2 linked regions of the Mus musculus genome follow. The main gene of each other region encodes a partner of the protein of the gene in region 2 in a complex. Links are inferred from orthologs where the notes say so. Each region holds a gene or a part of one and is shown on either strand. Other genes may lie near its edges.

Evidence for each region. Proteins that work in one complex are often made in the same cells at the same time.
Region 1: the proteins of Ywhaz (region 2) and Mapt are in contact, whole or in part, in a crystal structure (PDB 8QDV), measured with the Homo sapiens proteins. The link is inferred for Mus musculus from reciprocal best matches to the Homo sapiens genes YWHAZ and MAPT. Residues at the interface, in NP_001129171.1 of Homo sapiens: Glu14, Leu43, Ser45, Val46, Lys49, Arg56, Arg60, Lys120, Arg127, Tyr128, Glu131, Gly169, Leu172, Asn173, Val176, Glu180, Ile217, Leu220, Asn224; in NP_058519.3 of Homo sapiens: Ser637, Cys639, Gly640, Ser641, Leu642, Asn644, Ile645, His646, His647.

What each region holds. Positions count from the first base shown.
Region 1 is NC_000077.6:104,304,297-104,307,942, reverse strand, and holds part of Mapt (microtubule-associated protein tau), read right to left. Parts: intron 1,318-3,646; coding exon 1,185-1,317; intron 1-1,184. UniProt on the Homo sapiens protein: Promotes microtubule assembly and stability, and might be involved in the establishment and maintenance of neuronal polarity.
Region 2 is NC_000081.6:36,791,944-36,795,689, forward strand, and holds the start of Ywhaz (14-3-3 protein zeta/delta), read right to left. Parts: upstream 2,596-3,746; 5' UTR 2,202-2,595; exon of another isoform or gene 1,977-2,201; intron 1,736-1,976; exon of another isoform or gene 1,733-1,735; 5' UTR 1,536-1,732; intron 1-1,535.

The DNA of each region.
Region 1 (3,646 bases), on a different chromosome or scaffold from region 2:
AGAGTTACCTCTCTCAGATTTTGCCCCTGCAGGGGGTAGTTTTCTCTGCGGTTGCTTGGAAGCTTAAAAAGAAAAAAAAATCCACAGACAGCCTCATTATAATCAGGTTCACAGGAGTCTCTCTGAGTACTTCAGGTGACAGCAGCTGGCTGGTCTGCCTAGCATAAGAGACAAGCAGGGACAGATGCTGGGACCAGTAAGGAAGATGTAGCCAATCAGCACGGAGCCACCTAAGCACAGGTGAGCCTGGAAGAGCCCCTGCTCCAGGCTATTGTGGGAGTGAGACCAGCAAGGCGTTAAGGGTGAAGTGCCACAACTGAACCCCACTTAGCACATCATTAATGCTCCTAGACCATCAGTGTATGAGAAACACACACACACACACACACACACACACACACACACACACCAGAACCACAGCTGCTTAGGGAAAACACAGCCAATTCTCAGGCAACACCCTTTACAATACCAGAAGCATGCAGCAGGCAATACGGGCTGCCTCTGCCAAGAGAACAGGGACACTAAGAGCCAGGCTAGACACAGGGGCCCACAGGCCTCCTGGGTATTACCAGGGAGCAATGCAGGCCAGGCAACAGAGTCACAAGGCATCCAAAAACCCTTCTGGGAGCAGGTCCTCAGGGCTTCTATTCCTGGTATCTCTATTAGACGTGAAACAGCCCCACTGTAGCCTGGCCAGGTTCTTAATGCCAACTGGCTTTTATTCACAGGAGACTGGAGTAATGACCGTAGCACGCCATCACTCAGCTATGACCCTTGAGCTTTACTAGAAGGTTCCTAACAACCCAGCTGCGTGACATTGAGATGTTGGAGATTCCCCCACGGTTTCCCGCCCAGACTACTGATCCTCCAAAGAGGTAGGGGACCTGATAACACTTTATGCTGGGGCTGCCTCCCCAGAGCCATGGATTAGAGGCCATGCTCCTTTCTCCAATTTATTAATCACGTGACTGCATTTTCCTCATGCTTGAAAAATGAGCAAGATCTCTTCACCAATTAAAAGGCAAGGACTCACTAGCTACCTCAGACAATTGTCAAAGGATTAAAAAGAAGACAAACCACAAGGGTTAGTAGGTGCCAGGGGTTACGAATTGTCAGTGGCCTCCTGAGGCAAGGGTTGTACCTTCTGGAAGCTTCTGGATTAAAACTCCAGAGAGTAGTCTCACCTGACCCTGGAGGAGTCTTAGGGCTGGGCGTGGTCTTGGCCGGGATCCTGGTGGCGTTGGACGTGCCCTTCTGGGCCGGAGAGGCTGCTCCCCGAGGTGTGGCGATCTTCGCCCCGGTTTTGCCATCAGCGCCCTGTAAACCGAATCAGGGTGGAAGGTTTTCACCACTGGGAAAGGTGACCGCCACCAAGGAAAAGTCAGCCCCATCCTCCCACCTTGACTGAAGAGGGTGATGGTGGAGACAGATGCTGAGAAGGCCTTGTACAAGTCTTGAGGGCTTGTGGAGCACACAGCCCCACAGTTCACCTGCATGTCAAGTACCAGGATCTTCTTAGACGCATGGTGAGCTAGCCTGTGTTATAAAATGACAGGACTGCTTGAAGCAAGATCAGGGTCAGGGTAGATCAGTAGGCTGACCCTGGAAGACCACACCTGGTGGATGGACACCCATTTTTCAGACTCTTAAGTATAGATGTAACTGACTGACGGAGACTGGGTTCAACAGAGGCCACTGAAGACCCACATGTGCTTCAGGCCTCAGAAGAACTCACAGACGGCCAAACCATGTCTTTTTCGGCTCTCTCCACAGCCCCTGGGGACTCGGCCATGAACAATGGCTGAAAGCTGGGAGCTTGAGGCAGAGCAAACACAGCCAGCCAGCAGACTGTGAGTGGCTATGGGTCTCATGGTCAGTAGATGACCATCAGACATGGCATGAGCTACATAAAGAAACCACAGACTCGGGAGGAAGGGAGGAGAGAAGGGACTGTCGGGATGAATGGGTGCAACTGGAGGACACGCCACCCACCACGAGGCGTGGCCAGTTACCGTAAGAATTCTAGGTGGAGCTGAGACTTTCTTTATCATGTACTTATTCATCTATTCATTTTTAAGAGGAAGAGACTTTCTACATATTACTGGCCATCTAGGCAATTGCGGTGAGCCTCCTGCCTCTTACTCCAGGGTGCTGGGATTATGAGCACTACCACACCTGGTTTCTTTCTTTATTTCTCAAGCTAGAACCTCACTCACACTGTAGCCCAGGCTAGCCTGGAGCTCACTGTATAGCTCAAGCTAGCTTCTGACTTACGGAAATCATGCTCAGTGCCGGGATTGGTTATAGGCATCAGTTACCATGCTCAGCTCAGAGCCCTAATTTACAAACTCGGATCCCCTGGTTATCAGGGACTTCTATCTCCAGGGAAGAGGGAGGCACAAAGCAGGGCTCCGAGTCCCCAGTGCCTTCCCTGGTCCTTCAACCATGTAGCACTGCCTGTGAGTTTAGCTGAAGAAAGCATTTGAACACCACGGTACAGCAGCCTGGGTCTCGCCAAAGTTGGTTTCCTTACCTTGAGTTTCATCTGCTTTGTTCCAGGACTGCCATTTCGGGGTGTGACAGAAGAGACGTGTTTAGGAGAGGTGGCTGGTTCAGGGCACACGGCAGGGCTGGAGGGTTTGATCAAAGGGTCTGAGCTACCAAGAGTGGGGCGTGTGGGGCTAAGGCAGGGCCTATGGCTCGGGGCTTTAGCACAGGAAGGTGTGGATGTCTTAAACATAAACATAAATAAAATCAAAATGAAAGTCAGCACACGGGGAATGGAAACAAATGGAGAAAAGGATAAACAAAATCTCAACACAAAGAAGGCGAGTCACAGCTCAAAGCAGCCCTCTCCACCGCCCTTCCAGTAAGAAAGGACGGCAACTCTGCCCTCTTGGGCACCCATCAGCTACGCGCATGCTACACAGCTGATGTGGGATGGGCATGACTGAAAGTGACATGGCGTAGGACTTGTAAGAGGGAGGTTGAAGCACAGGCAGACGTGCGGCTACGTTCTTTCCTTAGCAATTGGACCTTGTTGTAGGTCCGACTTGGAGAGTGCTGGCCTAAAGGTGTTTCCCACTTAGTAAAGCAGGTGGAGACCGCCAGAAAAGAGGCAGCAAGATTTTCTCAAGAAAGAATGTTACTGTGACGTGGGTCAGAGGCTCAACCTCAGGAGAAGCACTTATGCAGGCTCACTAACACCCTACCCTCTCGCTCTACTATGCCCAAAAAACACCAAAAAGCCAAACCCTAATACTTCAAGGAGGATTGTGCCAGAGTCAACCAAAAGCTTCTGTCAGATGTCACCAAGGACTGACAGACAGACAGACAGACAGACACACACATACATACACATGTGCTCACATGCACACGCGCGCATGCACACACACACACACACACACACACACACGTATGCATGAATGCACACACATATGCACATGCATAGACACACATACTTTCTGATTAAACAAAGACTCAAATCTAATTAACGCCATTGATGGAATCTTGGTCTGGTCAAAATTAACCTCAGAACATTCTACCTAAGGAAATTGGTGTCTATGTGGCTGGATGTCTTCCGAGAAGGATCTAGCCAGAAGGCTGACAGCTGACATCATGGCTGCCTCTGCGCACTCTGACTGGG
Region 2 (3,746 bases):
TTCCCTAGATTCCAATTTACTTCTCATTTCTTCAACAATTCCAAGAGCAAAATTCTAAATCATATAGTGATCCCACAAAATACACTTTAATGAAAAGTCACAACCTGAATGCACTAAGTGTAGGAATAAAGAGTCACTGCCGCCCACCATGGAAATTCTTTCCTTTACCTTTCCAGAAAGGACCTCTTTTTGGTAGCCAAATGAGCAGTGTCCAGAACAGAAACACGGATAGGGCTAGCTTAAATTCGAGACACAGTACCTTCCGTGCATTAACTATTTAAAATTTGTGAACCCATACTTCCCCCGGGGTCTCGAAATCTAACATTAGAAACGGTCACTGGTAAATGTTGCTTCCAAAAATGATGTAAGCCTAAGTCAGTACAAACGTTCCCCCGCCAACCTCCCGGATAAGGGGAAGTGGATTAGGTTTCTCACAGGAAAACGAGCGCTCCTGGGCCTCGCCTTCAGACTGCGGGAATACTCGCCGCACCCACTTAACCCTTGGCTGCCTGAGGCCGGAGGGTGGGGCGAACCGAAACCGCGCAGCGGTGACTTTAAAGCGCTAGTCCTTGCGTCCGCGCCATCCGCAGCCACCTCCCCTCCTTGGCTCCGCCCAGGCTGGTGCCTCCGCGCTAGTCCCCGACTCTCTTTGTCATGGCGGAACTGTGTCAAGGAGCCCAACCTACTCCGACTGTGAATCGCCCCCCCACCCGGGCAGAGGGAGGAGCAGTCCGTGCACCCGCCCCAGTCGGAGGGTGGTGGTGGAGGGGGAGCAGATCACCCTCCCCGGGGGCCCGATGCCATCCGCGCCCGCAGAAGCGGAACCGCGGCCGGCCCGCGCCGGACACACCCCGCTCCCGCCCAGGGTCCCCTCCGCCGGTGTCCGACCCAAGCCCCGATGTCCCGACAGCTGCGGTAGGGGGAGGGGCAGGGCCCCACCCAGACAGGCGCAGCCCCCATCCTGGGGCCGCAGCTCCTGGAAAGATGCGAACCTCCCACCAGCCCAGGACGCTGGGGACCCCGTGCCCCGGTACCCCCACGCCTAGCTCTGGCCGCGCCCCTCCCCCACCGCGCGTCCCGAGAGTCCTTTCTGGCATTGCGGGCCCCAGCGAGCCCAGCCCAGGGTCCCTGGCGGGCCCCACCCCAGAGCCCCGCGTGCTACCTGGCTGCCCCCCGCCGTGGGGGAGGGGGTGGCGGGGGCGCCCCGGGTGGGGGCGGCCTCACCTGCGCCACGGCCGAGTCACAGTCGCGGGCGGAAGCAGGGTGCCGGCGGGGGCGGATCGCGGTCGCCCTCGGGAGCGGGAGCCCCTGGGTCTCGCGCGTGGGCGCCTCATCCGCCACCCCCACCCCGGGGACCAGAACGGGGCGATGAGCAGCCCGGCAGGCCAGAAGCAAGCGGCCGGGGGCGGCGGTGGGCGCCTGCCCGGGCCCGGCAGAGCCGAGCCGCCGCCCGGGTCCTCCTGAGAAGACCCCTCTCGGGCCGCAGCGCGGCGGCGGGCTGAAGGGACCGGAGGCCGACTCGGGCGGCTCCTCACCTGTGTCCGGAGTGGGTGGCGGCACACGGACGCGGCTCGGCGGTCTCTGGGCGGCGGCGGCAGCAGCGGTGGCGGCGAGGCTGAGACTCTGTCCCTGATCTGGCTGCTCACAGGCTACAGCCGCTCCGCAGACACGGGGTTTCCTCCAATCACTAGCCCCGGCAGCAGGGGCACCACACGCACGATGACGTCAAACGCTGCTATGGCAACCGTTGATTGGTGCCCACAGTTCTCCGGCCCGGCGCAACCGCCGCTCCCCTGCGCGCGCCCGGCCGGCCCGCCCGTGCCCGAGGGCGAGCGGAGGAGAGCGCGTACTCGCGCTCCGCTCCGCTCCCGACCCTGCCTTCACCCGCGTGCTCGGTTCGCTCCCCGCCGCCCCCGCGAGCTGCCCTCCCTCCCCGCCCCTGCGGCCCGCGGAAGGAAGCCTCTCCCCGCCCCCACCTCACTGGCGGGCACATCCGGGACCTTCGCGTTCCCCCCCACCCCCTTCCCGCTCGGCCGCCCTCTCTCTGCGCCGGTAATGGCGGTGGGCGGGTTGCGGGGCAGGGTGAAGGCAGCTCTACTGCCAGGGCATTGTGATCAGAAGCCGAGAGTAGGGCAGCGGCTCCGCCAACGCCGGGGCAGGGAGGCCCGGGCGCGGCTGCTCCCTCGGGCGGCCCGCTTTACCTTCTGGCTGCAGGAAGCGGCCTTAGACCTTTTAAGGCTGGGAAAAGCGCGAGGCTGAATGACGCCCTGCCTTTCCAGTCGCGAGCTCGGCGTCCACACCGTGACAGCCGCGGGGACAATGGGTGGTCGCTGGGAGGAGCGGGGAAAGGGTTGGGCTAGCGGGTTGGACGTGATCGTAGAAGCCTGACGTGGGGCGAGGCGGGGAAACAGGCTAGAACACACCGAACTGTTGTCGTGGGCTGCACTTTACCCTCTGTAGAGCTTTCATTGGGAGACACATTGTTCCTAATTAGCGCATTGTAAGAGAGTGACCGACCCTTTTAGGTCCTGGAAGCAAGGTTAGGGAGCGTGGCCGTTCCTAGGGCTCTAGCTGGAGGAGGAGCGAGGCTCCTCCGCCCGGAAAGGGGGGGGGGGGAGGAAAAGGGCGGAAATTGCAGGTGCCTGAACCCGCAAGGTCTCCACCCAGGAGACGGAAGTTGAAAGGAGATGCAGTCTCTATGAAGAATCTGTCCTTGCTCTCTTTAAATGTGCGCCTCTGAGCTAAAATATTTTCACTGAGCCCCTTCTGGGGCCTACACTAAGCACAACTGGAAAAAGAACCTCAGGAATTCAGCCCCAGAGCCCCCTGGAAGACTTCATGACAAGCATTCTTTCCCTACCACTGTCTTTCATCAGAATGTTGGTTACATTGTTTGAATCACAAGTTTGTTGTACAAATTATAATTTGCCTGAAATGACAGCTAGGTAGAGATTTGCCTGTGACCAGTTCAGTGTCGCTCCCCTCGCCAACCGCCCTCCCCCCTCCCAACACACACACCGGTTTCCACAGCAACAGATAACATGCTAAGCAGATGAGCAAATTAATTCAGGTTTTATCTCCAAGATACTGAAGTCAACTTACTTTGGCTGTAATGTAAATTCTTTCAGGGAGTGACTCACTTAAAATGACTATTTCAAAAGCTTTTATGTTTGCAGTTTTGTAGTAGGTGCTAGAAATTTGACAGAAGATACTAGGTTAAATCTTTTGTAAAATGGAAATGTCTGTTAATGTCTGTAATACACGTCTATATGGAATATACACCTCAGGGAAAGTTAAGAGATTTCTCTGCATAAATTGCAGACTTGTTTTGGAAAATAGTTTGGGCTTTTGCCTTGTGCATTAACTAGCAAGGTTTCTTTGTGTTTTAATAAACCAAAAGGTGCTTTTAGTTTTTACAAACTCCAATCAACATGTTTGCCTAATAAAGGCATAATAAGGCTGCAAGGGGGCCAGAATTAGATTTGCCATGGAAGGTCAACTGAGAAGAATTCTAAAGAATAATATGTAGCAAAGCCAAAACCCAGAGCCTATAGGCCTGAAGTATGGGGAAGTTACTGGTGAGTTTGATTAGCTGCCCAATTGTCTTCCTGTCTTCTTTACTTGGGTCTTACTTCATGCAGTTGATGTCTCCGCTATACTTTGATAGGCACAGTAGTAAAATATCAGCAATAAAAGTACTACCATCTGTGGCTGAGGAATGCATGTGTGTTTTCTCCATGTAGTTT